4 linked regions of the Oryctolagus cuniculus genome follow. The protein of the gene in region 3 purifies or fractionates together with the protein of the main gene of each other region. This does not show direct contact. Links are inferred from orthologs where the notes say so. Each region holds a gene or a part of one and is shown on either strand. Other genes may lie near its edges.

Region 1 (7,669 bases), on a different chromosome or scaffold from region 3:
GTACCAGCTGCTCCACTTCTGATCCAGCTCTCTGCTGTGGCCTGGGAAAGCAGCAGAAGATGGCCCAAGTCCTTGGGTCCCTGCACCCACATGGGAGACCCGGAGGAACCTCCTGGCTCCTGGCTTCAGACTGGCACAGCTCCAGCTGATGCGGCTATCTAGGGAGTGAACTAGCAGATGGAAAACCTCTCTTTCTGTCTCTCCCTCTCACTGTGGCTCTCCCTCTCAAATAAATAAATAAAATCTTGAAAAAAAAAAATAAAGGGAATCTTCACGGTGAAATGAAAGGATACTAGGCAGTCATTCTAATCCACATGAAGAAATAAAGAGCACCAGTAAAGTTAACCATATACTTAAATACAAAGATATTTTCGTGTAATTTTGTCTATAACTGTTTTTCTCCTATCATATTTAAAAGGCAACTGTATAAAACAATCATTGTAGACCTATGTTAATAGGAATACACTGAAGAAATGTGATTCATATGATAAGAGCACAAAGGAGGATTTAGGAAAATAAAGCTGGACATCATTTGTATACTGTTAAAACTAAGCTGTTATTAACCCACAATAGAGTACTATAAATTAAGAATTTATTGCAATCTCAAAAGAATTAAAATAGCACACTAGAAATATTTATTTAACATAAATAGACAACAGTAATGGTGGAAGGGGGAAAAGGTATACAGAGAATAAATATCAAACGGCAGGTATAAATACTAGCTTATCAGTAATTAGACTAAGTGAAAATGGGGCCGGCGCTGTGGCATAGCAGGTAAAGCTGCTGCCTGCAGTGCTGACATCTCATATGGGCGCCAGCTCAAATCCCAGCTGCTCCACTTCCGTTCCAGATCTCTGCTATTGCCTGGGAAAGCAGAATATGGCCCAGGTGCTTGGGGCCCTGCACCCACGTGGGCGACCTGGAAGAAACTCCTGGCTCCTGGCTTCAGATTAGCCCAGCTCCAACCGTGCAGCCATCTGGGGAGTGAACCAGCAGATGGACAATCTCTCTCTATCTCTGCCTCTCTGTAACTCTGCCTTTCAAATAAATAAATAAATCTTAAAAAAAAAATCCACAACAGGCACATCCACAGAGACAGACCCTCATGATTGCCAGAGGTTGGTGCAGGCTAAATCATGAGCAGCTGGCAGTGAGCACGGGTTTCTTTTTGGGTGATGAGAACAGTCTGGGATTAGAGAGTGGTAACCGTTGTGTAACTTTGTGAATATATAAAAATCACTGAGCTATGCACTATTAAAAGGTGAGTTTTAGGATCTGTGAGTTATATCTCCATTCTAAAGATGTAAATTAAATAATGGGTGAAGCCAGGAGCTCAGAACTCCAACAGGGTCTCCCTTGTGAGTGGCAGGGGCCCCAGTCCTCGGGCCATCTTCCACTGTTTTCCCAGGTACATTGGTAGGGAGCTGGATTGGAAGTGGAGCAGCTGGGGCGCAAACGGGCACTCAGCCCCTATCACTGTATTCTTTTAAGTAGGAATTGTTTCAGGGGAGAGTAGATGGGAAAGAACCTGAGAGATTCTATGCCTCTCTCTCACTTTTGTTCTCTAGGGAAAAACCACTAGCATCCCGGAGGGTGCAGTGAAGACCTGGAAGATCCCAGGTGGGGAGCTCAGAAAGCCAAACACAGATTCCATAAGCAATATTGCAAGCCTACTCTCCTTATTAATTTGAACATTTTTAAGTTTTTAGTTGTGGTTAAAACACACATAACATAAAGCTTATCATTTTAACCACACAATAAGATTTTGACTGTCACCTCTGCATTTGATGTTTTCCCCCCAAATCTCCCCCAGGGGCCATCTCCTCGTGGTCAACCTCATGGTTTGAACACTACTTCCTCAAAGAGGCCTTCTTTTAACAACAGGAGTAAAAAGTTTCTCTCCCACCCCAGTCACTTTGTCTTCTTCCCCCACCCCCAAGCACTCTCCACTATTTGACAATTTGGGTCTGTGGGCTTATTGATTATTTCCTCCATCCCCTACAATAAATAGCCATTCTCCCAAAGCAGGGGCCTCCCTGGTCCACCTGCTCTTCTCCACAGCCTAGAACAGTGCTTAGCACACGGTGAGCCCTATTACGTCTTGTGAAAGCACTTATTGAGTAAAAAATACATATATTACACACACATACAAACACACATCTATAGTGTTAATTCCCTAGCAGTTTCATGTATCTCCCTTGCTTACTGCAACTCTGAGTAAAATGGGATCCTAGCCCTACTGTGGAAAAAGCGTTTGGTCCAAGGCCAGGGGGCCATTACATGGCAGCGGGTGGACCGCGCAGGAGGGCTGCTTTTCCCAAAGCATTCCACTCCAGTTCCAAGACTAGGGGCATTTTAAGTGACTCTGCCCTTAAGCCTATGAGGACCCTGAAAGGCAGTAGAAACGACCAGCACATGCTTTTTTAAGTAGCCATTTCCTGGGTTGAATGAACCCTTACCTCTCCCTCCCTTCCCTCCATCCCCCACCGCACATTGAGCTGCCACAGGGTGGGCACTCTACGTGCAAACAAGAGCACACAACTACTCACCCGTTTGGGACCCTGAGTACCCGCCTCGCCTCCGCCCCAACCCTTTATACAACTTGGCCGAGGTATAACCTTGTCTCGTTTTAAAAATGTGCTCCTTTGACACATCTCATACCCCACTGTTTGCATCTCCACCACGACATGCACCTGTCAAGGCTCCCTCTCCTCCCGTTTCCTTTCTTTGCCGTCCCCCGGCCCCCCGACACACACACACACACACACACACAGCCCGGATTCCACAGCCGAACACGTGTGGCCTGTGTGTACAGAACTCGCTCAGCCGCCCTCGCCAGCCCGGCCCACAGCAAGCCCCGCCCCTCGGCCCCTCTCCAACTCAGCCCCCACAGATCTCGCCCTTCCCCACCTCCACCCCCCACTTCTCGCGAGAGGTGAGCGCGTCTGGCCGGACGGGAGGAAAGTATCTGCTCCGCTGAGGGGGGAAAGAAGGAGCTGGAGACAGATTGTGGGACCGAGCGCGGGCGGGCGGGAGGCGTCGGAGCTACCAGCGGGTGAGTCCTGTTCACGTTAGCTAGTCCATGATCTGACGGGAGTCTCCCCTTCAACTCTGGCCAGTCACGGCGTCCCGGGCCGGGGTCTCCCCTCCCAGTCTGTGTTGGACGGGGGCGCTGAGGCGGTGGCCGGGCCCTGTCTGAGGAAGAGGGTGGGGCGTAGACTAAGCGCGGCCAATAAGAGAAAGGGCAGCCACGATTGGCGGCGGTGAGCGCTAATGGGAGGTCGAGTTTACCTCGCGGAGTGACGCCCCTCTTCGCTCCCTCCTCCCGCCTCCTTCCTTTGGGGGGGAAGGCGGGGCCAGAGGCCTGAAGTGTGGGGAGAACTTGGGGTAAGTAGCCCCGGGGGGCACAGGGCGTGGCATGCAGGGGGCACTTGAATCCTGTGGGAAAGGTGTTCCAGCGGAGCCTAATGGAAGGGTCCTGGAAATGGGAGGAAGAGGAAGGGCAGCGAACCAGACCCAAGGGCTTCCCCAAGAGTGGGGTTAGAGGCTTTGGCGTTGGAAAAGGCAGAAGTAATAGCCAGGAAGTAGGAATAAGTAGGTGAGAACCAGGATCCTGATCAGGTGGAGACAGGCGCTGGATCTGACTGGAGAGATCGGGGTTAGTGATTGCAAACGAGGGTCGTAGCGTTTCTGTCGAGTTCATCAGAAGAGTGTCGGGGATGCGACGTGGGCAAGAAAGTAGGGGTTTGGAGAAAATGAAGTGAATGAGTTGAAGAAGGGGTGTGGGTGGGCTGAGCTGGCCAGGAGGCACGGCGGTGGGCAGGCTCTGAGAGCTGAGAGGAGTTGGGGGCGGTGTTTGGCTACAGCCAGGTGTCCCGGGCAGGCCGGGACCCGGGGATCTGGCCCCCCGACGGGTGCCCCGCCTGCAGGAACGCGGGCACAGCGGGAGAGGAGAGAAACGGGGCGCTTGCACCCCTCCTCCTCCTCTCCCCGCTTCCAGACTCACAAGGGGACGTGGGCTCGGGACTCAGTCCCGGGGGGGGCCTCCACGCCGCTCGGGGTTGCTTGTTGTGTTCTCGGGCTGCAGTGTTTACTCCCCGGCGCACCTCCTACCCAGACTCCCGCCTCGCTCCTTTCCTAACTTCAGCCGTTGGTTTCCCGTGAGCAGAGCTTGGTTTAGCCCTGTCACCTTACGCCTGGGTTCGTAGCTGGTGTGCAGAGTTTTCCCCGCAAGTTCTTTCAATTCCCACGCTTACATTTTTTGCAGTAGTGCAATGCCTGTAGAAGCATCAGTCCTTACAGACATTGGAAGCACAAAGACACTAAAATTAAGTTTGTTTTGTTAAAAGTATCTTCTTCATGCGTTCTTGAAGAGTTGTTAAATGGATGGCTGCAGTCCGTTTATCTGTATTTTTTTAACGGTGTAAATAAAATAGACGCGTGTTTCAGGAAAGTGGAAATTTCTCAGTTTCTTCCTTTGTGTTTAGACTCAGAAACTGAAGATATGTCATAATATGTTAGGGTGAGGGTTTGGGAAATCAAACACAATTTGTACTTAAACATGGAGAGTGCAAGGTAAGTGGAGGCTGTTGCGAAATGTACCGTGTTTGTAAGAAAAGAAGCTAAAGAAGAGTTTGGCAGCTGTGCTAAGTAGTCTTACCAGTTTGTTCTTAATTCTGTACAGAAAAAGGAAAGGCCTTTGCCCTTTGTGTATCGTTTAATAATGCACTAGACTAATAGCAGCCGATTAATTGTTTTTGCTGTGGCATAGATTTTTCTTTTGCATTCCTTCTCTACTTTTACTTCTGAGAAGTAAAATAATATCTGAAATAGCAGTAAAGGTATTATATGAAGAGAGACCAGATGATGTAGTTTTGTAATAACTTTCGATTTTCAGCAGCCAATTGAAGCTTTTGCTCCTGGTAGGAAGTTGCCCCTACAGCACATTGAGACCAATTAATTCCTGACCCCTTAGCTACTGAGTTGGGCTAGTATTTTACATTAAGAGCTTTGCTATTGAACATTCAGAACATTTTCACCATTTGCCTGACACATTAAAAAAAAAAAAATCCAATGAGAGAGCAAAGTCCCTTGCTTTTGGTCTTCCAGAGACTTTCTGATGGCTTTGACTTGGGCACTGTTAAGTGTATTAAGTACGAGATTTTGTTTTTCTCACTAATGTTGCCGTCAGGTAGAAAGCTAGAGAGAGCTGCTCATTTTTCAACTTGTGGATCGAAGTTTACGCTCTGCGATAGTGTCAGTGTTGTTAAACACCTCTGGTTTTCCTGACTTTAACACATCAACGCCTACCATTTCCATGTCTCACTCTCTTTCCTCGCTTCTAACCCAAAATGAAAATTATTTTTTCAACCAACTCTTAACGCTACTACTTTGCCTCAATGTGCAGTCCACGACTCTGGTCAACCACAGCTGCTCTGAAATCCTCGCAAGTTGTTGCTTTCTGCGGGTCAAGACTGAGCTTCCCCCAGGCTGCAGTGGGAGGGAGTCGTGTTCCACGGCGGCGGGCATCCCTGTCCGATATGGAGGAGCCGCCTCCTTCAAGGAAGTCTTAGGTGGGGCAAATGGCTCTGCCATGCAAATGACGGAGAGCGCTCTCCTTGCACTGTTGGGCAGGCTGGCCTGTAGCTGCCCATGTCTCTTGACAAAGGTACTGCAGATGCAGATGTTGTTTCTTTGAGGGAAAATCAAATGCAGCATTCATTAAAAAAGAAAAAAAATGTTAATTTTGTTGTTGTTGGTTTCTCTGAAAATGGGTCTATGACTTTGGAGTTCATGAAAAGTCTTCTGTCTCTTTAAAAACATGTCATAGAAAACAATTGTAAGATTCTCTGATGTGCACTCATTTTTAAATGTTCTCTTCCGAGGCTGGTGTTGTGGCATACCAGGTTAAGCCGCTGCCTGTGACACTGGCATCCCATATGGGTGCCAGTTTGAGTCCTGGCTGCTCTACTTCTGGTTCCAGTCCCTGCTAATGCCTGGGAAAGCAGCACAAGATGGCCTAGGTCCCTTGGCCCCTGCACCCACCTGGGGGACCTGGAAGAAGCTCCTAGTTCCTGGCTCTGGCCTAATTTGCCCTGGTCATTGCCACCAGCTGTGGAGTAAATAAATGGATGGAAGATTCCCTCTCTCTGTTTTTCCCTCTCTCTGTAACTCTTTTAAATAAATAAATAAACCTTAAAAAATAAAAATAAATGTTGCCCTTTGCCAAGAGGCTTCTTTGGGATCACATATATTCAGGGTATATGAAAACATCATATTTAGAACTCCAGATTGATGACCTTTTTTTTTTTTTTTTAAAAAAAAAAAAGATTTATTTATTTATTTGAAAGGCAAAGTTACAGAGAGGCAGAGGGAGAGAGAGAGAGAGAGAAAGAAAGATCTTCCACCCACTGGTTCACGCCCCAAATGGCCAAAATGACTGGAACTGAGCCAATCTGAAGCTAGGAGCCAGGAATTTATTCAGGTCTCCCACATGGGTGCAGAGGCCCAAGCACTTGGGCCATCTTCTGCTGCTTTCCTAGGTTCATTAGTAGGGAGCTGGATGGGAACTGGAGCAGCCAGGGCTCAAACCGGTGCTCATATGGGATGCCGGCACTGCAGGTGGAGGCTTTACCTGCTACACCACAGAGCCAGTCCTGATCATTGGGCTTTTAACTTCTGAATGCTCTAAGGAAAGGTCCCCATTCGCAGATACCATGTTTCATTGTTAGAGCGCTACATTTTTATTTATTTAATTTTTAAAAATTTTTATTTATTTGACAGATAGAGTTAGACAGTGAGAGACAGAGAGAAAGGTCTTCCTTCCATTGGTTCACCCCCCAAATGGCTGCTAGGGCCAGAGCTATGCTGGTCAGAAGCCAGGAGCCAGGTGCTTCCTCCTGTTCTCCCACATGGGTGCAGGCACCCAAGCACTTGGGCCATCCTCCACTGCCTTCCCAGGCCACAACAGAGAGCTGGACTGGAAGAGGAGCAGCCGGGACTAGAACCGGCGCCCATATGGGATGCCGGCACCCCAGGTGGAAGATTAACCAAGTGAGCCACGGCACCAGCCCGATTTATTTTTAAATACTTTTCTTTGTTTTATTTGAAAGTCAGAGTTCCACAGAGAGAGAGAGTGATCTTCCATCCACTGGTTCACCTCCCAGATATCCTCAGTGGCCAGCCCTGGGCCAGGCCAAAGCCAGGAGCTTCATATGGGTCTCACATGTGGGTGGCAAACACTTAGGCCATCTTTCGCTGCTTTTCTCAGACCATTAGCAAGGAGCTGGATTTGAAGTGGAGCAACCAGGATATAAACATCCCATATGGGATGCCGGCATCACAGGTGGCAGCTTTCTTGCTGCGCCACAATGCTGCGGCCCCTACATTTTTATTCTTAAATGTTTATTTTGAAAGGCAGAGTGACAGAGAGAGAGAGGGAGCTCCACCTACTCTTTTACTTCCCAAATGCCCACGATAGCTGGAACCTGGCCAGTCAAAGCCATGAGTCCAGAATTCAATCCACATCTCTCATGTGGGTAACAGGGGCCCAAACACTTGAGCCATCATCTGCTGCTTCCCAGTATGCATTAGCCAGAAGCTGGATCAGAAGTGGAGTAGCTGGGCCTTGAACCAGGCACTCTGATATGGGATCTGGGCATTCCAAACA
Region 2 (7,520 bases), on a different chromosome or scaffold from region 3:
ATGGCCATTTGGGGAAGATCTCTTTCTCTGTGTGTCTCTCCCTCTCTCTGTAACTCTCAATTTCAAATAAATCTTAAAAAAAAAAAAAAAGAAATTGCCCAATATTCAGTATTTTTTTCCAGAGAGGCAAAAACAGGTTTTTTTTTTTTTTTAAAAAAAAAAAAGGTCAAAAGAAATAGGATCTGCATCTCGAACTTCCTGTCCGTAGAAACGAAGGCTTAAGGGAGGCGCTCTGAGAAGAGCTGCCCTCCAGGGAAGCAGCTGGCCTGGGCTGGCATCGGGAGCCCGGAACGGGGGTGTGCTAAGGCTCAGGGTGGAGGTGAGGGCAGGTTGGAGTTGACAAGAGCAAGCCCCAGTAGCAAGAACTGGGGTCAGAAGTCAAGGGCACGGAGCCAGGAACTGAGCATCAGCACCAAGGAGGGCTGAGAAACAGCGGGGGAGGACCTCCAGGAGGCAAGCGGCTGCAGGGGCAGGAGTCCACGGAGTGAGCAGAAAGGTGGCAGGCCAGTGGCCACAGGGTATGGGACCCGTCACCGCGAGGCTTGCAGAATGAACAGCAGACCTCTGGCTGGCGCTAAGGAGTCATCTGGGACTGCCTCTCTGCTGGGAGGTCAGTGATGCAGGTCCACCAGCTTTCCAAGCACAAGGAGATCAGGCGGCAAGGAGCAAAGGGGCAGGGGGAGCTGCAAGCCGCAGAATGAGGACCAGGCCCCTGCAGGTGCTGGCCCAGCTCTGCAGGCGGGGCACCTGGGGAGGCTTCAGAGCCAGACCCCAGCCATGTGGCCCGGGGCAAGTTCCCTAACCTCTCTGCACCTCCCTATTCTCAGCTCTAAGGCGAGAACAGTGTTACTTGCCCGCTAAGGCTGCCAAGAGATTCAATTAGCTAAGACTTGGAAAGTACCTGGAATTGCACCTGCACACAACCAGGAAGACTCGGCGGCGATCCCTTAGAGGTCCCTTCCGGACTGCTCCCCCTGACAGTGGTCTCCCCTCCTTACAGCCACCTAGAGGATTTCCCCAGAGGATTCCCTGCTCGCCCACTTCCCAGTGGTACACCCCGAGTGGGCAGGGCCATCCTGAATCCTGGCAGTGAACTACACAGCTGCAACCAGAGATGCCAGGCCAAGGGCTAGCGACACAGGTGCAGAAATGAGGCCGGGCACCTGCCCTCTGTCCTCAGAGATCCCTCTGAGGTCTTCTCCACCCTGCAAGCCGGGACACGGCTGCACAGATCACTGGCCATGAGGTACAGCCACCAGGTGGCCCTCAAGAGTGGGGGCCGGCACTGCTGTGCCACTCGGAGGGGCTGCTCCTCTGGGGTTCCCCTAAGCATTTGGTGACGGGTAGCCAGTGCCAGGAGGAGCCACCGCATGATTCCTGCATAGCCAGTCGGGCCTTAGAAGAACTGGGAACCTTGCCCTAGGGGATGCCTGTTCTTCCCTGGAGACTGGAAAAATGCTTCCAACAAGCCTGCCTGGGAAGCCAGCTTTGTCCTCTTCCTAACATAGCTGGCCAGCGACTGCACGTGAGATCCTCCCTCCTGGGAGTCCACACCTCCAGGGAAGACATTGGCACCGGCCCAGCTGTCGCCCCTCTGCCAAGCTTGTCAGCTCTGTTCTCAGTGGCAGGGTTCATAACACAACGCACAACACAGACACACACGTGCTGTGTGATAATTGCTTTGGTCCTTTAAAAAAAAAAAAAAAAAAGTGCCACTGGCCAGCTCCTGCTTTGGAAATCAGCACCACAGCCGAATCCCACGGGCTACAGCCAGAAACTAGACCAAAAAGGAGAGGTGGGGAGGAACGGGGGAGAGAAAAGCCAAGGACGGTGGGCTCCGCTCAGGCCTCCCACAGCCAGCCCCACGTGTAAAGAAACCCAGGCCGAAAATTCCAAGCGTGGGTTGCTAAGGCATTTGTCTCTGCTGAGTTTTGAGAGGGCCAAACCACACACACGCACAAGAGTGCACGCGCGCACGCACACACATGCACACAGGCACACGGAGCTTGGCAGCCCCAACGTTCCAGAGCTGGTAACACAAGCCACGGGACCGCCTGCCAAGACAAGCAGGAGAATGAGCCAGTTCCAGTTTCATTGGCCACCATACGCTGCATATGGCCCAGGACGCAGCCAAAAGAGTGTTCTCACCCTCCTAAGGCATAGGAGACCCTCTGTTTTCAAACACACCTCCACAGAGCCTTAATTAAAGGAAAATGGAAAAATAATGTGCCTGCTTCTCCCCCCCACCCGCCTATATAGGTATGTGCACCTATACCCAGACACACTCACTCTATTTTTCTCTTCCGCCCATTTCGCTTTCAAACATAATTCATTCGCATGGAAAAAAAGCAAACTACATCCTGTAGCAGAGAAGAATGTAGCCTGCCCTCAGCCCTGGCTCTGACTGCTCAAGTAGAGCTGGGGTTGAATGAACGCAGAGCAGGCCAGCCCAGAGTCTGCACCAGCCCCTTCCTTCCCAGCGTGGAGCTGGAAGTGGAGGCACTCGAAAGAGAAAGCCAGTCCATTGCAACACCAGGGGCGGCTCAACAAGCAAGGCCCGAGGGCCTGGCCCTGCCAAGGCTTTCTGCAGGTTGGAAAAGATGCCCACACAGCCCGGGAACAGGTTGGGGAGACAGGAGGTGTGTGCCCTGGGGGTTGCCAAAGCTAAGTAGCGGTTGAGTAGGGGGGAGACCCTTACCCAGCCCTCCCTAGAGGTCATTGTCACCACATAGGGACACATTGCCCAGGATGGGGTTTCAGCTAACTCAGGAGAGAAGCTAAAGGCCTCCACACGCACACCTTGCTGCAGCCCTCAAATAGCTCAGCAACCAGCTCTTGGGGGAAGGTTCTGGAGCTGCCTGCCGCGCTGGAGCCGAGAAAGAGGAGCAGGGACAGAAGAGGTTCTCTCAGGGCCCACCCTGCCTGTCCTCAGCTAAGCCGAACCCCAGCAGCCCAGAGGCATGAGAATGGACCTTGCTTCTCTCTCTCCTCGCCCCACACCCCCAACCTCGGGTTCATATAAAAGTGGAGCCACCTCACACCTAATGCGTGGTTACACTCTCCCCTAGAAACCTGCAAAGGGAGATAAGCCATCGAACTCTCCCTGCAGCCAGATTTGCTGGAAACGCAAAGCAATGGGAGGTTTCTTTAGAAAACCCACAGGGAAGGGAGGCTGGCGGGGGAGGGCAGAGGACTGGTTAACACAGAGCCTCAAAGGACAAGCAGGCACCCAACACCGCGCCAAGCTTCAGTTTCTCAGGCTTCTCAAACTCCCAGCCAGGGTGAGTGCATCAGGATTTAAACCTGGGTACACACACCCACACTCTGCTTGCCCTCTCCACACAGACTGGAGTCCTGCCGCCCTGCGCAGGAGCTGTCAGGCCACAGCCCCAGGCCCTGGGGGCCACACGGGAGGGGAGGGGGCCTCAGCCAGCAGGGGCCAGGCAATCCTGCTACTACACCAAGGGGTCCCCGCGACTTCTTCCTGCAGCCTCTCCACCCTTCCATCACTGCATCCCCGCGTGTAGCTGCCGCTCCTCCCACTGCCCCAAGCCAATCCTGGCTCTGCCAGCCCCGGGGTCCAGGGATACGGGGCAGAAGGCCCAGAGCCCCCGGGCCCCTTTGAGAATTCCAAGCATCTCCGGAGGGGCTGCCTTGCCTCCTTATGTAACCTGGCCGGGAGACGCGGAACCCCCAAAGCCGACCCAGGCCATCCCTAGGACCCTTCCCAGCCCAGAACCATGCAGCGGAGTATCCGAGAAAAGCCCCCTGCATCGGATGCAGACCCCTCGCCCTCCTCCACACCCTCCCCCGGGTCCTCCGGGAGCCGTGCTTCCTCCCGGCCGGCAGGTCCCTGTCATCCTCCCCCGCCCCGCCCCCGGCTCCCGGACAGGGGCCGTTGTCTCCCCACTCACCCCGCCTTCCCCGCCACCGCCGCCGCCGCTGGAGGAGAGCGCCTCCCAGCAATCGGACGGAGGAGGAGAGCGCGCGAGGGAGGAGGCAGCGGACGGAGCCTCCCGTCCCGGGGCCGGAACCAAGGGAAGCCACCGGCTCCCGGACGCCCCGCGCCTCGAAAGCTCGCGGTCCCGGGGAGCCTCCCGCGGGCCGCGGGTGCCGGGGGACTCTGCGCGCTCCGCCCGCGCGAGGGCGGCCGTCCCAGGTGCCCGCGGCCGGCGCGCCCCGCCCCACCCGCGCGGCCGGCGCCCCGCGCGCGCCCTCGCACCCACCGTGCAGAAGCCGCGGGCGGAGGCGGCGCCGGGGCCGGGGCCCGGCTGCAGGCGCCCTGCACACTCCGCGCCGCTGCCGCCGGGCCGCGGAGCTCCGCCCGGTGCCCAGGCCCGTCCCGGCCCGGGAGCCGCCGCGGCGCCAGCCCCGCCGCCGCTGCAGCGTCCGCCGCCGCCAGCGCCCCCCGTCGCGGCCGCCGAGCGTCCCTCCCGCAGGCAGTGGCGGGCGGCGGGACGGGTTGCATCAGCCCCGGCTATATAGCGGCCCCAGGGCGGCGGGGAGGGGTCGGGAATGCGGAACCGGCCGAGCTGCCAGCTCCAGACGTCAGAGGGGGACGGAGAGGAAGGGAAGGAGGGGACAGGGGAGGAGGAGGGGGTGTGGATCCGGCGCTTCACACCCACTGACCTTCACCGCCCCCGCCGCCTCGGGCGCCCTCCTCCCGCGGCTGCTCGCGCTGCTCTGCCCGCAGGGGCGACCCGGGCCCCGCGGCGCCTGCCCGGGCTCCATCGCGTGTCCCCGCGCTCCCAGCCCGCGGCTCCGGGACGCGCGCGGAGCGAGCAGGACGCGGCGAGCGGTTATGTAAGCGCATCCCCAGCGCACGGCCGCCCCGCGACGCCCAAGCCGCCGCCTGGGAGAGCGCGAAGAGAGGGCCGGGCTCAGAGCCCGGGCAGGCATCGCCGGGGGAGGTGGGGGGGTGGGGTGGGAGGACGGGGGGGGGGGGGCGGGCGTCGGGGCACGGCCTTCTGGGTCCTCAGCCTTTTCCCGGACCTAGATGGTGTCAGCACGATTCCGAGCTTGGACGCCTGGGAAGCGAAGGGGAGAGGAGGTGGCCTCACAAGCGGGCATGCAGAAAGATGGGCCCAGGATGATGGTGCCTGGGGGAACCTGTACCCCTGCCCACCGGGCGCCCACCCAAGGCTGCAGCCTGACAGCTCCACCGCCCCGCGCCCGGCTTGTTTGATCCCTGGGCTTTTTGTCTTGCTCCCGCAGGCTGTGCCTTTTCCCCTCCGGAGCTGACCCAGCCCTCAGCAGCCCGGCAGTGGCCCTGTGCCATCCTCCTCCAGAGGTAGATGGGCAAGGGGACGCTAGAAGGAATGGTGCTGGGTGGTGCCCTCCAGTCCTTAAAGGCCCAGAACCCTGGGGGCAGAAGCGTGGCTCCTGAGACCTTGGCACCATTCTCGATGCCTGCCACCTTCCAGGCCCCTCTGGGTGCCCAGCCAACCCCCTACCTCTCTGCCCAAGACTTGGATACCCGGTGACCTCTAGCCTCCTTCTCAGGGTGATGCCAGGTCATTTCCCACAGAAGAAAGGAAGTGAAAGGAAAAGGTCAAGCCTTCTTGGAGGGCAGACGCTAAGAATGAAAGGAACAACAGGACTGGAGACAGGTGGGAGCCACAGAACACTCAAGCCAGTCTGCCTGCCATGTGGTTGTAGTCCCCCTGCCACTCCTGGGCAGTGGAATCTTTCCAGATCAGAGCACTGGTCCCGTGGGAGGAAAGGCAGACCAGGTCCCCATGGCCATTGCCGGCCTGGCCAGTCTTCCCCTTGGCCATCAGCAGCCTCCCTTGGGACATGAATGCGAGCCAGTAAGGAGGGGGCCAGGCCCTAGAAGAATAGGCTTGGAGAACACATCATCATTGATAGTCCTGTGGGAGAACAGGACTCAACCCCACGGCACCTTCGCTGCAGCATCAGCATCAGCATCAAAGCCGGGGACCGGGAAGCTGCCTTAGGATGCTTCTCCCAGGAGACCGAGGTTTGGACGTTTATGTGGAAGCCGACACTGAAACTTTATGTGTCGTGAAACTTTATGTGTCGTCGGCTGGGACTTTGAACAAACGAAGCTGATCTATGCGCAGGGACCAGAAATGAGCGTGTGTGGTTGGAGCAGGTGCTCTCCAGGGCCTGCTTTGGACCGTGGTGGGGCCTCCCCCCACAAATATTTAAATAAGCTACAGGGGTGGTACTTGGGGGTGACTGGGCGGTCTTGGGCCCGCTCCATCTCCCTCTAATAGCCACTAGTTCTCTCCTGTTATTTGATACGGGCGTTTTTCCATTTTATATAGGATGCTGTGCAAACACAGCTTCAAGACCTCCCTCCAGCCCCACCGCCCCCTCCCAGGGAAGTGACTGGAGGGAGGATTGTAAACCGACGGTGGCCTGCTTCTCCTGCTGGTCCTTATGTGGAGCTGGTCTACACCCCTGGCTCCCAGGGGCAAATGACTCAGCTGAAAGCAGTCTGAATTTAGGTTTCCTCTCAGTCGCAGCTAGAAGAGTCCTCGTAAGACACTGGCCCCGGCCAGGAGGCAGCCTTAGAGGTTGTTGCATATTCCAGGTGAATCGGAAGAGATGGGGACTGTGCAGAGGAGACGCTGCTGGAAGCCAGCACACGCTAGGGGTCGGCTGAGGGTGACACAGTGCAGAGCGGAGAAGAGGGGAGTCGTCCCCAAGGCGCGGGCAGGTGGCGTTCTCAGGACGCTGAGATCCTGTGTCCAGGCCCGGCTGACACCTTCCCTGCCTCTGGAGGTCTCTGTTACAGGAATCAGCAAACTGTACCTTACTGAACTTGGGCCTCCGAGTCCTTGCAAGTAGAAAAATCCTGACGAGGCCACTGGCTTTCGCACGTCTGGTGCATTTGGACGTTGATGACAACTAAGCTCTTTGCAAAGGGAAGAAGTGAAATGGTGAAGTAAAACAATCCCTCAGACCTGTTCCTCCAGTATCAAAGCAGGAAGTGATGGTTCTGGTAGTCTGCCAAACAGCTAGTCTTCATGCAAATATTACTGAACATCTCGTCTGTGCCTGCAAGGTACACAGAGTGGAAGGCATGATTCCTGGGAGCCTAGCAATTAAGTCGCTCCTGTCCCAGATGGGAGCACCTGGGTTTGATTTCCAGCTCCAGCTCCAGCTCCTGACTCCGCTGTCCTGCTACAGCAGACCCTGGGAGGTAGCAAGTAAATAGTTCAAGTTAATCAGGTTCTGGTCATCCATGTGGGAGACCCATATTGAATTCCCAGCTCCTGGCTACAGCCCCGGACCAGCCCTGGCCATTGCAGGTGTTTGGAGACTGAACCAGTGAATAAGAGCTCTTTCTGATGCTCTGCTGAGAGAGAGAGAGAGAGAGACTCTTCCTCACTTCTCACTTGCCATCGAGTTAGGAAGAATGACTTAAAAACTAATGAATAGGAACATCTCAAATCAGAGTGCTAGTTGAGTCCTGGATACTCCAATTCCAACTCAGCTCCCTGTTAATGCTCCTGGGAAGCAGCAGATGATGGCCCAAGTACTGGAGTTCC
Region 3 (6,430 bases):
CCTGTCCAATCTCTTCCACTCTGAGATACGCTCCTAAAGAGAAACTCTTTGTGTATTTGGATTTACAGCCACAGGCAGGATATTAGCACTCCCAGACCTGTTGGGTACTAGAGCACCGCTAATGAGCAAACAGCCCTGCCTCAATTAGTGGTTTGTGAAATATTCCTGGATATCAAATTGCTTTTGCTGCTTGATAATCACACTGGCTCTTGGGAAGAAAAGCAACCAAGCAAAAATTGTTCCCTTGTTGAGTAGTGCCTTGTTGATCTAAGTCTGCCCCTTCCCCAGAGCTGTTTGATCTTCCGAAGTAATCGTGTGCTGCTGCTCACGTGTTCTCTTGTGAATCTTTTCCATATTTAGATAAGCAGCTTTAAAACTGACTCTATAATAATCCTCTAGACAAGACTGATTATTTTACAAACAAGGAATCAACTACAGACAGGGATCCCAAGTGGTAAACTGCTATACTGCTAATTTCCTTGGGCAGAGGTGTTTATTTGGGGGTAGGGGGAAGGAAAGTGAGAGAGAGAGCACGCGCGCGTGCGAGCGCACATTAATGAAATTTGGAGAATGTTTCATCCACAGAACTTCTAGTTTGATTCTAAATTCTTTGCTTCTTCGTTACCAAGTAACTCCAGAATAAAGTAATGTTAACCCCAGCAACTGAAAAGAAAAAGCTCCAGTATTCAGCTTGGGGGGGGAAAAAGTAGTAATGGGAAAGGAATTCAAAATCTGTTATTGGTATTTGAATACATTTATTGTGACAAGAATCTGTTATGAATATTCATAAGCAAAGGCCATCTTTTTAAATCTTAGCATTGTTAAAGTGAAGATTCCAAATTGGAAGGATACATCTTTTCTAAGATCTGCCCCGGGTTCCTGCTTTGAGAATAAGCATGTACTGTTAAATTTCGACCAACATTACAAACGGTCCCAGCACCTGCCACTTGATGGAATCCCAAACTTTGAGGTGTCTGACTTGCCAGTGGGTTGCCCCTCTGCCCCCAAACCCCCTTTCCTCCAGTCCCCAGGACCCACCCTCTCCCACCCCCCACTACCCTCTGGTGATCAACTGGGAAGTCTGAGACCTGATGATAACACCAGGACCACTTATTTCTAAAGTTCAGTAGGGAATCCAGGAGTTTGTACTGCTTGAAAGCAATAAGTACTGAGCGATCCTGATGGACACTAAAACTCTCTTGATTGCACCCAGATTACCTAGCATCTAGAGATAATGCAGAAAAAAGGTTGGGGGGGATTACTTTTCAATATTTTATTGTATTTTCTTAAATATCCTTTCTGGAATTTTCAGAAACAAAACATAAAAAAATTATATACTTTATTACAAATGGTAAACTCAGAGTGCTCCAAATCTCTTATTTACAAACAACACTGGGCAGGACACCCAAACGAACAAACATGAAATAACTTACAAAGGCATGAAGCTGTTTATTGACAGTAATCAGCTTTCATCAAATTAAAAAATAGATATCTGTACATACACGGTTAACGAAGGCAGGCCAGAAAGAGTGTATCTGCAGGCTCAGCCTGGCCCTCCCCGGCTCCCTCCCCGCCCCCCGCCGCCCCTCCCCAGCCCTCCCGGTCGGGTTCTTAAGGAGTACTACAGAAGCGATCTACAGTCTCTATGGCAGTTTGTCACCCCGCCCCTCCCCCCCTTTAATACTGAATGAGATCGAATGTTAGGTCCATGCAGTTCTTGGTCAATGTTAAAGAAAAGTCTACCGTCGTGATGGCGCGGGGACAGCCCTTCCGCCGAGCGGGGCCGCCCGCAGGCGGCCGCTCCCTGGCTCCGCGCCAAGGGGAGCGCGCGCCAAGTCCTTCCCACTCGTGCACACTGGGGGCGCCGTCAGGACGCAACCCAGCCCGGCTTGGATACCCTTGGCCTTAGTCCTCGGACGCGTCTTTTTTATTTTTTTCTCGCTGTCGCAACCGGTCAAGTTCGCAAGACTGTCTCTCTGTTGGTTTTGTTTTCTTTTTCTTCGTCGCCCCTCAGCCCTCGACAGTCTGTCCTCAGAACGTTTGCAACTGCTGCGTTAGCATGAGTTGGCACCCGCTGTTAACGTGGTTCATGACTTTCTGTTTCAGCTGTGCCACCTGTTCCCTGAGCATGTTGGCCGTGGACGCCAGCTCCGAGTTCTGCGCTTTCAAGGTTTTCACTTTTTCCTCCAGCCGAGCGATCCTCTCCAGCTTCCTTTTCCGGCACTTGGAGGCGGCGATGCGGTTCCTCATGCGCTTCCTCTCCGCCTTGATCCGCTCCTGGGACTCCATGTCAATGGGGGACAGGGGCGGCGTCTCGCCGGGCATCTCGGGCACGGTCTGCGGCTCCTCCTTGAGCGCCTGCAGCCGCGGGTGCTGCACGGGGATCTGCTGGGGCAGGTGGTGCGGCGGCTGCGGCGGCGGCGGCGGCTGTTGCTGCTGGGGCTGCGCGGGAAAGGCCAGGCCGGCCGCGCCGTAGGAGGGCGCCCCGCCGCCGCTGCTCAGCGCGCTCGGGTTGAAGTTGCTGAGGTTGGCGTAGACAGGCGGCTCGCTGTGCAGGCCGGCGCTGAAGCCGCCGCTGCCGCCGCCGCCGCCCGCCACCGAGGCCACGGCCGGAGCCACCATGCCCGCCCCGCTGACCGGCTGCGCCGCGGACGTGACGCTGGGCAGCGTGTTCTGGCTGTGCAGCTCGGCCAGGGCGCGCACGAAGCCCTCGGCGAAGCCCTCCTGCTCGTCGGTCACGTTCTTGGGGCACAGGAACTGGGTGGGGGTCGGCGTGGTGGTGATGTGCCCGTTGCTGGACTGGATGATGAGGCGCTCCAGCTCGGGCGACGCCAGCTTGAGCAGCCCCACGTCGGGAGAGGTGAGGAGGTCCGAGTTCTTGGCGCGGAGGTGCGGCTTCAGGCTGCCCACCGGGTCGGCCAGGTTCAGGGTCATGCTCTGTTTCAGGATCTTGGGGTTACTGTAGCCGTAGGCGCCGCTCTCGGTCTGCAGGAACGAGGCGTTGAGGGCATCGTCGTAGAAGGTCGTTTCCATCTTTGCACTCATAGAACAGTCCGTCACTTCACGTGGGCTTACTTTGGGCTGCGCGCACAAGTTTCGGGGCCGCGACAGCGCGCTGGCGGGCGGGGAGCACCCCGCGCCTCCCCGGGCCTCTGGCAAAGGAAAAGTTTCGGAGCGCGCGCGCACCCGCGGGCTGTCTTCCCCCTGGGCGCCCCGCTCACCGGCCCCCGCTCCCGGGAGCGGCGGGGTTCAGACGCTCGCCCGCACTCCTCGGCCGCTCGCGCGCGCCTGCCCGCCTTTGAAAAGTCGCGGTCACTCACTGCGCGCCCTTCGGAGGCTCCCCGGCGGCGCGGCGCGGTGCCCCGCAGTGGCGGCGGGTCTCGGCCGCCCGGACTCCCGGAGACTGTGCCCTCTTCCGCTGCGAGGGGCAGGGGGCTCCCGGCGGCAGCGGCTCGCGCCGGTCAAGTTCAGAGGCCGGGGCGAGCGGAGCCGCGCGCGCGTCGCTCCTCTTCGCTCCTCTCTCCGCCGCCTTGCTTTTCTTTGCTGCCGCCGCGGCAAGCCCAAATAGCGCAGGAAAGGTTTGCAAAAGTTCGCTCCGGGACTCCGGGCCACTTGTCCCCGGTCCTCCCGGCTCGGAAAGTTCTTGGCCGCTGCAGTCGCCGCTCTCCGCGGCTGTCAGCTGCGCTCGTGCGGTGGGGCTCTCCTCCCCGGGGGCGGCTGGAGAAGCAGCAGCTCTCCAGGTGCTCCCCCCAAACACCAGCCCGGGATCCACAGGCGCTAGCGCGGGGCAGTTGGCAAAGCAACGCAGCCGTGCGGATCGCACTCTACGGGCGTCCTGGCGGGGCGGGCGGACTGTGTCTGTGTGTCTGTCTCCCTCAATCCGCGCACCTCCACTCCCGCCTCGCCGCTTCAGCCACACTCAGTGCAACTCTGAGCCCTTATCCAGCCCGAGCGCAACACTTATCTGCTACCAGTCAACCCCTAAAAATAGCCCATGATGTCACCCCAAGGCCTTCCCATTGGCTCGCGTCGCTCTCTGGGGGGCGGGCCCGCCCGTCGCCATGGAGACCCCACCCTAGAAGATTCTTCTTCGGGCCCGCGGAGGCTCACGGGATGAGGTAATGCTCCGCTGCCCTCCTACAGTTGGGCCCTTCTTTCTCCTCCTCTCCCCCTCCCCCTCCGCGCGCCTCTAGCCCCTCTCTTCCCGGTCCCCTCCCGGCCCGTCTTTCCCGGCCCGCCCGGTGCATTGTGGGCTGACGTCTTGGGGTTTGACTGTCTAGTGACGGTGGCCGCCGCGAGCGAGCGAGCGGGCGGGCGGGCGGCCGGACGCTCGCAGCCGCTGACGGAGGCGGGGGCTCAAGTTCAGGGCTCCAGACGCGGATGGCGGGTCACGGAAGGCTGAGAGCTGTGCCAGCTGCCTGGGGCCGAGTGGGCGCGGGCGTGTCCCCACTTGGCGGAGTCGAGGGGGCTCCAAGTGGCGCCCCAGCGTTTGTGCAGGGCTGGGAGGCCGAGCGCCCGGTCCGAGCCCTCCCCCCACCCCGCCCCGCACTTCCGGGGGCCGGGAGCTCCGCCCTGAAGGTGCTCCGCGGAGTGCCCCGTGGGGGCGAGCGGAAAGTGGGCTCCAGTTGGGAGGCGGTCTCGCGAGAGTCGGGTCCCCCCTCCCCCCAACACCACTACGTGGAGAACGCGCCGAAGTTTGCGGGTCAAGTTCTGGAGCGACAGTCCGCGCGGCTGTGTGGCAGTGCCCGGAGCGGACGGGTTTGCATCTCTCGACCCTGGGCGCTCGGCGGAGTCCTCGCGTGCGCGATCCTAGGGAGACGCCTGCGGGGGATGGCGACTCTGCCTCGGAGGGGGCGGCTTTTATAAGGGGTGGGAACAACTCAGCATCCTGAGGGGGACGAGCATTTAGGGGATCCCAAAGTGGGGGAACCCGGTGGTGGCCCTCCTGCCCCGGCGCGCGCGCGCACACACACACACACACACACACACATCCCGCACCCGGCGCACGCACGCAGCTCTTTGCGCCTGCACCGGCTCCCGGGGAAACAAATCCCGAGAGCCAAAAGTCCCGCAGGGAGTCCCGAGTAGAAGCGGGCTTGAGGCAGTCCCCTCCCCGCCGGCTGACCGGCCCATATCCCGCACAGCCTCTAGGAAGCGCTAGACCCATAGAAGTGGTTGCTTCGCGGCGGCCCTTTCCCTCGCCCCCGCCCCCCCACCCCTGGCGACGGCCGTGTGTGGTGGAACCCAGACCGGAGTCGGGAAGGGGCCCAGGCACGGAAGCCCTGCCGGCCCCTCAGGCCCCTTATCAGAAGGGCCGGCGGCGTCCACCGCGCGGCCGTCTGCGGGCCGGGGGAGGTGGTCGCCGGGCGGCCCCCTGCCCCGTTAGCAGATTTCGCAGGCCGGCGCTGGCTTGCCAGGATGTAAGAATGTGATCTGGCAGGACCAGGTGCACTTTCCTGAGAGGAGCTGTGGCGGGGGAGAGGCGAGGGAGGGAAGGATTAGAAGGCAGCTCTTTCTCAAGCCTCTGTCTAGCTTTGGCTTTTGAAGTGGGACCCGCAGGAGTTTGGGTTTCTCGGCCGGGTCTAATTCGGACTGCTTCTGAACTTGGGGGAATTCAGCTCTGGGCTCACAGCCTGGGGGCCTGAAGGTATTTGTGGCTTTGCGAGTTCAGAAACCGAGAGCAGCTGGTATCAGTGGGAAACCCGCCAACTTTTCTTCACTCCGGGCACTCACCGCGCTTTCACTCATGCAGTAGAGGGTAACTGGCTACCGGGAGCCAAGCTGGGCTGAGCCGGGGAGGAGGGTCCGGTGAAGCCCGGATCCAGTTACTTCCTCTGTCTCCTGAAGCATTTTCTGTTGTCGGCAGGCAGTGGGTGCACTAAATAAGCTTTTATGATAATGGTCATAAAACGAAGTTTCATGTGTTCCACACCTACTATCCGCCAGGTGTTCTGCTGAGCGGTTTGAGTGCGCTGTTTTCTCCCACAGCCGTTTTGAGAGGGCTACATGGGTAGCATTATCCGGGTCAGACAGGCCAGGAAACAGGCCCGGAGAGGTCCAGTGTCTTCCCCGCGGGAATTGATCTAAAGTCTGTGCTGTATGGGCCTGCAGGCTGTCTGGTGAACTATTGCCCGTGGAGGAAACCGTGCTTGTGGCAGAGACTTCTTGCCTGCGCCCCTCTGGTTGGAGCTCCTTCCAGAGCTTCTGTATTTAGAAACTCCGAGACTGAGGACTTTGTATAAATATATGTCTTTGCCTAAGGGTTCTGTGTGTTCCTCTCTGCCTTCTGTGGTTTAGTAGGCTTGATTTTCCCCTTATGTTGAGAAATAGCATATTTCATCCAAAAAAATAACAAATCTGTTCGTGGTAACGCCCCTGCTTGGAAGCCTCCATTGCCTTTTCCTTAGGGCCAGGAGAGAATTCATTCGGA
Region 4 (7,516 bases), on a different chromosome or scaffold from region 3:
GAATCGTCTTCCTTTCTTTTCACAATCTGATTAACAAAAGCTAACTGCCAACTTTGTGCCTAATTAGAATGATTGTTTTTAACATTTATTTATTTGAAAGGGTTATGGAGAGAGGGAGTGGCAGAGAGAGCGCTTCCATCTGCTGGTTCACTCCCTCCATAGCCGCAATGGCCAGGGCTTGGCCAGGCCGATGTCAGGAGCTTCTTCTGGGTCTCCCACACGCGCAGCAGAGATCCAAACACTTGGGCCGTCTTCTGCTGCATTAACAGGGAGCGGGGTGAGACACGGGGCGGCAGAAATGTGAGTCTGCACCCGTAGGGGCCGCCGGCACTGCAGGTGGCATTCAGCCCACGAACAACGTTTAAACAAACAGTGCTCGCTGAAGAACCCCAGGGACTGACGGCAGGGAAGCGACTGGAGTCACAAGGCCCGTCTGGAACTAGACCCACCTCCCGTGAATTGCTAGATCTTGGCTCAAAGATTCTAGCAGCAAACTTTTCCCAGCATGCCTTGGAAGTCTGCCTGTCACCGAGCCCCTGCTGTTGCCTACCTCCCCACCCCGCCCCACCCAATAGTCCTTTAAAAATGCTCTTTCCTAGCAAGGGGGGGAAGAACTGGGACTAGATGTCTGCTTCCCCCGGTCCGGTGGCCTCCTGGGTAACCCTGTCTCCCTACTTCAACTCTTGCCTCGGATGCATTGGCCATTTAGTGCTAAGAAGGCTTACTAATTCTTCAGTATTGTTTATGGGGGTGGGTAGGGGCCCCCAAATTATGTTGCAGAGGTCAAGAACCCTGGCCGGGCTCAGAGAGACCACCGGCTGGATTCAGAATACAACTGGAGATGCAGAGGTGAGCGGGAGAGCAGGGTTTGTTGAAAGGCAAAGGGACAGAACACACGTGGTATGGGTGACATCCAGCTGGACCGTCCTGTTTATCGGGTCAGGAGGTGCTCAGCACAGGGTGACCTCCGGGCATTTGGGGCATGATGGGGGGGTGGCTCAGCTGCCTGAGGAGGAGTGGCTGTGCCGGTCTCAGGGGGCGGTGGGACTGGGGCAGGGCACATGGCGTGGGGGTGGGCAGTCCTTAGCTCCTTGTCCCTCACTGACTCCCTGCCTAGCCCCGAGCTCCCGCCTGTGCTGAGCAACCGTGTGTTCAGACCGTCCGACTCACAGAGGCGCTCAGTGCCCGGGGCTCATCTCCGCAGCCTCCGGGTGCGCCACCTGCACAGCCCAAAGCGTGGAGCAGCAAGAGCTCCGGTCTGTCCCTGAGGGCACCTCCGCTCCGGCAGCACAGATGCACGGGGAAGACTGCCCGGCCGAGCCAGGCAGGGAAGCAGGCGGATGCCCCCGTCTCTGTCTCCCAGCCCGTCCATGCCAATCCAGCACGCCCGCCTCCCTAGGGCGCACCTGGTCTCCCACACTACACAGGAGACGCCGTGAGGTCAGGTGCCTGTGGGGATGGGGAAGGGGGAAGTGTCTTCAAGCTCGGTGTCTCCCCCAAAGCTGTCTTTAGCAAGACAGAAGTGCCGATCTCAACCTTGTTTCTAGAAGTTACTATGCCACCCTTCAGATGGCACTGTTGCACAGCCCCCAGAGGGCTGACCTTTGATGGCCCGTCCCCAGCTGCGCTCCGCCAGTTTCCCGCATCTGCCTCTCTCAGGTCCCTCCTGGCTTTGCTCACCGCCTCGCCCTGCGTGGGGTGGCACCGAGGTCGCCTGTCTTCGCCTGCCTCACCTGTGGGACCCGGCGGCCCTCCCCTTGCCCTCTGTGGACACCCAGTCCCGGGCAGCTTCTCTCCTATGGGGTGACTGCACGACGCATTCTCATTCTCCCACTAAGTGCAGCCTGCTCTTGGTCTTAGCCTCTGCTTTGAATTACCGCAGGAGGCTGGGGGTGGAGACCGGGACTTAGAATGAAAACGGGGACACAGTTCTGTACGGCCATAAGAAGTAAAGCCGCCGCCTGCAGTGCCGGCATCCCACAGGGGCGCCGGTTCCAGTCCCGGCTGCTCCACTTCCCATCCAGCTCTCTGCTATGGCCTGGGAAGGCAGTGGAAGATGGCCCAAGTCCTTGGGCCCCTGCACCTGCGTGGGAGACCCGGATGGAGCTCCTGGTTCCTGGCTTCTTATCGGCGCAGCTCCGGCCGTTGCGGCCATCTGGGGAGTGAACCATGGGATGGAAGACCTCTCTGTGTCTCTAACTCTGCCTGTCAAATCTTTTTTTTTTTTTTTTTTTTTGACAGGCAGAGTTAGAGAGAGAGAGAGAGAGACTAGAACCCGGGGTGCCGGCGCCGCAGGCGGATTAGCCTAGTGAGCCACGGCGCCGGCCATCAAATAAATCTTAAAAAAAAAAAAAACCCACACAACAAAAACCGATTTGCACGTGGGTATACGGGAGCAAGACGGGCGGGACCCCGAGGCCGACGGGCTGGGCGGGCTGAGGGGAAGGCGCGGGCGGGGGCGGCAGGGAGGAGACGGGAGCGGCAGCGCGGTGCACGGCCGGCTCGCTCCGGCGGAAGCAGGTTTCCCACAGAAATGCAAATTTCCTTCACAAAGGGACAGCCGGTCAGCCCAGCCCCGTCCGCGGTTTCTCGGAACCTGACAAAGAGCTACACCGCGGGCCGCCCCTCTGGGAGCCCGCGCGACCGGAAGGCCCCCGCCGCCGGGGCGGGGCGTCACCGGAAGAGGCGGGGCCGCGGTCTCCTGGGCGACGGCGCAGCGGCGCGGCCCTGCCCGGGGGGGGGCACGCTTCAGCGCGCCGTCTACGCATGCGCCCGGTGGTCCCGCCCCTCGTGCCGCCGTCGGCCATTTCGCTGCTGTTTCCTCAGTGCAGCCTGGGCGTGAGGGCGTGCGTCCGGCCACTGTGCGGAGCGGCGAGCGGTCCCGGTGAGGGAGCGGGTCCCGGGAGGGAGCGGGCGCTCGTCCGGCCTCCGTGAGGGGCGGGAAGCGGGCCCCGCGAGGGAGCGGGCGTGTGAGGGGCGGGCGCCCGGGCTCCGTGTGGGGCGGCGAGCCGGCGGGTGAGAGCGGGCGTCAGGCATCTGTGCGGGGCGGGGAGCCGGCGGGTGAGGGGCGGGGAGCGGGCGTGTGAGGGGCGGGCGTCAGGCCTCCGTGCGGGGCGGGGAGCGGGCGGGTGAGAGCGGGCGTCAGGCCTCCGTGCGGGGCGGGGAGCGGGCGGGTGAGGGGCGGGGAGCGGGCGAGTGAGGGGCGGGCGTCAGGCCTCCGTGCGGGGCGGGGAGCGGGCGAGTGAGGGGCGGGCGTCAGGCCTCCGTGCGGGGCGGGGAGCGGGCGAGTGAGGGGCGGGCGTCAGGCCTCCGTGCGGGGCGGGGAGCGGGCGGGTGAGGGCGGGCGTCAGGCCTCCGTGCGGGGCGGGTGAGGGCGGGCGTCAGGCCTCCGTGCGGGGCGGGGAGCGGGCCCTGCGAGGGAGCGGGCGGGTGAGGGGCGGGCGTCAGGCCTCCGTGCGGGGCGGGGAGCGGGCCCTGCGAGGGAGCGGGCGGGTGAGGGGCGGGCGGGTGAGGGGCGGGGAGCCGGCGGGTGAGAGCCGGCGTCAGGCCTCCGTGCGGGGCGGGGAGCGGGCCCTGCGAGGGAGCGGGCGGGTGAGGGGCGGGCGTCAGGCCTCCGTGCGGGGCGGGGAGCGGGCGGGTGAGGGCGGGCGTCAGGCCTCCGTGCGGGGCGGGGAGCGGGCCCTTGTGAGGGAGCGGGCGATCATCCGGCCTCGGTGCGGGGCCGGGAGCGGGCGGGTGAGGGCGGGCGTCAGGCACCCAGGCCTCCGTGCGGGGCGGGGAGCGGGCCCTTGTGAGGGAGCGGGCGATCATCCGGCCTCGGTGCGGGGCTGGGAGCGGGCCGGTGGATGAGGGGCCCTGCCTCGGCCCGGGGCCTGCCGCCCCCTCCCCGCCCCCTCCTGTCCCCGGACTGCCCTCGCCCGCTCCCACGCGGGAGGGGTCGCCGGCCTGCTGCACTGGGTCCCGTCCCTGGCCCCTGTCCTTACCTCTCAGGGGAAGTGAGGGCGACAGAGCGGCTGGCCCGCGGGTGGGGGCGTCTGGGGGCCAGTGAGGAGGATTGAGGAGTCCGTGGCCACACAGGCGGATCTGCAGCAGCACTGCCAGTTAGGAGTCTTAACTGTTAGGGGGGTGGGGGGTCGGGGACTTCCAACCTGAGTAAGTTGGCCAGGAGCCCAGCAGGTGCGGGAGAGGGAGTGCCCCGTTCTGCCTGGGCTGCGTGTTACGGTGCAGACGGCTGTGAGCCTGCCGCGGACCAGCCAGCTTGGGAAGCTTCAGTAGAAAGGTCCCAAGTGTTTGTTATGTATGTGCGGTATGATTGTTTCAGAGTTAAATGACTGTGGAGGAAGAGAGGAATTTGATATTGCAATTCTTCAAAGTTCATGTTACCCTGAGAACTTGTTTTTTAAATGAATTATTCAGGGGTGGAATTTCCAGAGCTTCCCGTGGCTCTTCTGTTAATGGGCTGTTCCTTCAGGTGACCCAGCAGGGCTAGACTTGGCCACCGAGTAAGCCTAGCGGGTTTATGCAGGGAGCAGGCGCGTGGTACGGACTTGAGTACTGACCGAGGGCTCTGGACGTGAACAGAAGACGAGACTGACTGCTGGTAACAGATCTCCTCCCAGGAAACCGCACTTTCTCTGGCTTGAACGTGGTCTCCAGCATCTTGCTTGTTGCCTAGACTCCTTGTAAACGCATAGGCTCCAGCAGGGAAGTGCGAAGCATGTGCTGCACCTGAGGGAGATGTCTCTCAGACCGGAAGGAATAAGAGGTCCTGAAGCAGATACTGGGTGCAGATATTACCTTCACAGCGCCAAGAAAGGAGTGCTTACTGTGTCTGCTAGCACTCAGAATCAGAATGAGAATAAATCATGGGGCTTATGCACGATGTGATGTACCCTTTCTTAATCTAGAAGTTGGGTTTGAATTCAGATTCCCATTATGAGTGGCTTGGAACAGTTCTGTAAAGTGCAGTAATAGGATCTATCCTGTTGTGAAAAGAAAATGAGTTACTACACATGAGGTACCAATTGTAGGAGATTATATAAACTATTTGTTAAACATTCATAGTCCCCAAAGGCTAGGCACTATTTCTTTCCAGTTTTGATTTTTTTTATAGATTTAATTATTATCATGGCTTGACACTAGATTTTGGCAGTGCCTTGTATTTTTTTTTTTTTTTAATTTTTTACAGATAGAGTTAGGCAGTGAGAGAGAGAGAGAAAAGTCTTCCTTCTGTTGGTTCACTCCCCAAATGGCCGCAACAGCCGGAGCTACGCCAATCCAAAGCCAGGAGCCAGGTGCTTCCTCCTGGTCTCCCACACGGATGCAGGGGCCCAAGCACTTGGGCCATCCTCCACTGCCCTCTTGGGCCACAACAGAGAGCTGGACTGGAAGAGGAGCAACTGGGACTAGAACCCAGCGCCCATATGAGATGCCGGCGCCGCAGGTGGAGGATTAACCAAGTGAGCCACGGCGCCAGCCCTCCAGTTTTGATTTTTATATATATTTGTATGTAGTTCAAAATATACAATGTCAAAATATACAATGTTGTATCCTTATGTCAGAAGCTTTCTGCTTACGTCATTAAAATTTCTTCCTGGGCAATTTTTTAAAAAGATTTATTTATTTGAAAGAGAGGAATCTTCCAACCACAGGTTCACTCCGGACAGTTGAAATGGTGATGGCTGCAGTGGCCATTGCTTGGCCAGGCCAAAGGCAGGAATTTTTTTTTTTTTTTAAGATTTTATTTATTTATTTGAGAGGTAGAGTTAACAGACTGAGAGGGAGAGATAGAGAAAGGTCTTCCTTCCACTGATTTACTCCCCAAATGACCGCAACGGCTGGAGCTGCACTAATTCGAAGCCAGGATCCAGGAGTTTCCTCCAGGTCTCCCAGGTGGATGCAGGGCCCCAAGGACTTGGGCCATCTTTTCCTCCTTTCCCAGGCCATAGCAGGGAGCTGGATCAGAAGAGGAGCAGCCAGGACTGGAACTGGTGTCCATATGGGATGCCAGCCCTGCAGGCGGAGAATTAACGCACTGTGCTGCAGTGCCTGCCCCTAAAGGCAGGAGCTTCATGCAGGTCTCCCACATAGCTGCAGGGGCCCAAACATTTGGACCATCTCTGCTTTTCCTAAGCCATTAGCAGGGATCTGGAAATGGAGCAACTGTGACACAAACTGGTGCCCATACGGAATGCTGGCGTCACAGGCGGCGGCTTTACTGCTATGCCACAACACCATTGTAAATCAGGATATTTTCTTGGGTGTGTTAATATTCTCAAGTCTTTTATCTTGACAGTTGATAGTCATTTGAAATTTGTATTATTTTCATGTTTTCTCACTGAACTTCAGGGAGAAAATGTGTTCTGGTTTTCAGTGGAAAACTGTTAAAGGATTCCAGAAATAATGAAATTAAAATTGACTAAGTTAGCTGTATTAACTAAATCATTTGCCATCAGGTAATTTATCTTTTGCAGTCTGAAACTGATGAGATTTTTAATAGGTTCAGAATCTGCTCAAATATAGAAGTTCAGCCAAACAGCTTCAGTAAAAGAATCTTGAAAAGTACAGAGACGACACCTATCCTTCATATCATAAAAGGAAATCTCTCCTGATTTATAGTCTAGGAAAATGCTGACCCTCCTGTGTGCTGCTACCAGCAGAAGCTGGGTTCTCCTGGGACCCAGGGCAACACATCCATTTGTGGCGCGTTGCCCAGTTGCCCAGACGCTGTCCTGGACTGAGGCCTGATTCTGCTGGTTCCTTCTTCCTAGACAATTTTAATTGCATGATAGATTATACTGTACTTAATTTGGATTCTCAGCAGTTTACAATTTTTGCAAATACTATGCTGTTTAACCAACTTTAGTGGGGTTTTTAGTTGTTTTTCGTTTTTTTAGGTTTGAAGAACACACCTGAATCATGGGGGACGTTAAAGATTTTCTGTATGCCTGGTGTGGCAAAAGGAAGATGACCCCATCCTATGAAATTAGAGCCGTTGGGAACAAAAACAGGCAGAAATTCATGTGTGAGGTACTGAAGAGTATTGTCTACTTATGAAGCTCAATTTGGGATTAAGAGCATTTTGTGTTAAGAAATGTGTATTGCACGTTGAAGAAGAGCAGTTCTTGTTTTTGTTTTTAAAGATTTATTTATGTATTTGAAAGGTATGAGAGGCGGCAAGAGAAGTCTTCCATCTAATGGTTCACTCCCCAGATGGCCGCAGTGGCCATAGCCATAGCTGGGCCACATCGAAGAAAGGAGCCAGGAGCTTCACCCAGGTCTCCCACATGGGTGCAGGAGCCCAAGCACTTGGGCCACTTTCCGCTGCTTCCCCAGTCTCATTGGCAGGGAGCTTTAGTGGAGCCAGAGCCTGTTTGGGATGCAGGTGCGGCAGGTGGTGGCTTTACCCACTACACCATGGCACCAGCCCCCAGAGTAGTTCTTTATTGTTATTTGATGGCTATTCTGTTCATCAACAATCTGGTGGTAAATTATTCTAATTGGAACCTGGAGTTTT

What was found. The genes of interacting proteins can lie anywhere in the genome.
Region 1: the proteins of JUN (region 3) and cyclic AMP-dependent transcription factor ATF-7 purify together in Homo sapiens (affinity purification with mass spectrometry; 3 studies listed by BioGRID and IntAct, with this or other methods). This does not show direct contact. The link is inferred for Oryctolagus cuniculus from reciprocal best matches to the Homo sapiens genes JUN and ATF7.
Region 2: the proteins of JUN (region 3) and JDP2 purify together in Homo sapiens (co-immunoprecipitation; 3 studies listed by BioGRID and IntAct, with this or other methods). This does not show direct contact. The link is inferred for Oryctolagus cuniculus from reciprocal best matches to the Homo sapiens genes JUN and JDP2.
Region 4: the proteins of JUN (region 3) and DHX9 purify together in Homo sapiens (affinity purification with mass spectrometry; 3 studies listed by BioGRID and IntAct, with this or other methods). This does not show direct contact. The link is inferred for Oryctolagus cuniculus from reciprocal best matches to the Homo sapiens genes JUN and DHX9.

What each region holds. Positions count from the first base shown.
Region 1 is NC_091442.1:56,606,805-56,614,473, reverse strand, and holds the start of cyclic AMP-dependent transcription factor ATF-7, read left to right. Parts: upstream 1-2,887; 5' UTR 2,888-3,055; exon of another isoform or gene 3,056-3,387; intron 3,388-7,669. UniProt on the Homo sapiens protein: Stress-responsive chromatin regulator that plays a role in various biological processes including innate immunological memory, adipocyte differentiation or telomerase regulation.
Region 2 is NC_091451.1:21,436,266-21,443,785, reverse strand, and holds the start of JDP2 (jun dimerization protein 2), read right to left. Parts: upstream 4,783-7,520; 5' UTR 4,630-4,782; exon of another isoform or gene 4,616-4,629; intron 4,453-4,615; exon of another isoform or gene 4,227-4,452; intron 4,129-4,226; exon of another isoform or gene 3,915-4,128; intron 1-3,914. UniProt on the Homo sapiens protein: Component of the AP-1 transcription factor that represses transactivation mediated by the Jun family of proteins.
Region 3 is NC_091438.1:114,256,621-114,263,050, reverse strand, and holds JUN (transcription factor Jun), read right to left. Parts: upstream 3,046-6,430; coding exon 2,032-3,045; 3' UTR 1,931-2,031; downstream 1-1,930. UniProt on the Homo sapiens protein: Transcription factor that recognizes and binds to the AP-1 consensus motif 5'-TGA[GC]TCA-3'.
Region 4 is NC_091444.1:1,028,577-1,036,092, forward strand, and holds the start of DHX9 (ATP-dependent RNA helicase A), read left to right. Parts: upstream 1-2,734; 5' UTR 2,735-2,884; intron 2,885-6,896; 5' UTR 6,897-6,918; coding exon 6,919-7,029; intron 7,030-7,516. UniProt on the Homo sapiens protein: Multifunctional ATP-dependent nucleic acid helicase that unwinds DNA and RNA in a 3' to 5' direction and that plays important roles in many processes, such as DNA replication, transcriptional activation, post-transcriptional RNA regulation, mRNA translation and RNA-mediated gene silencing.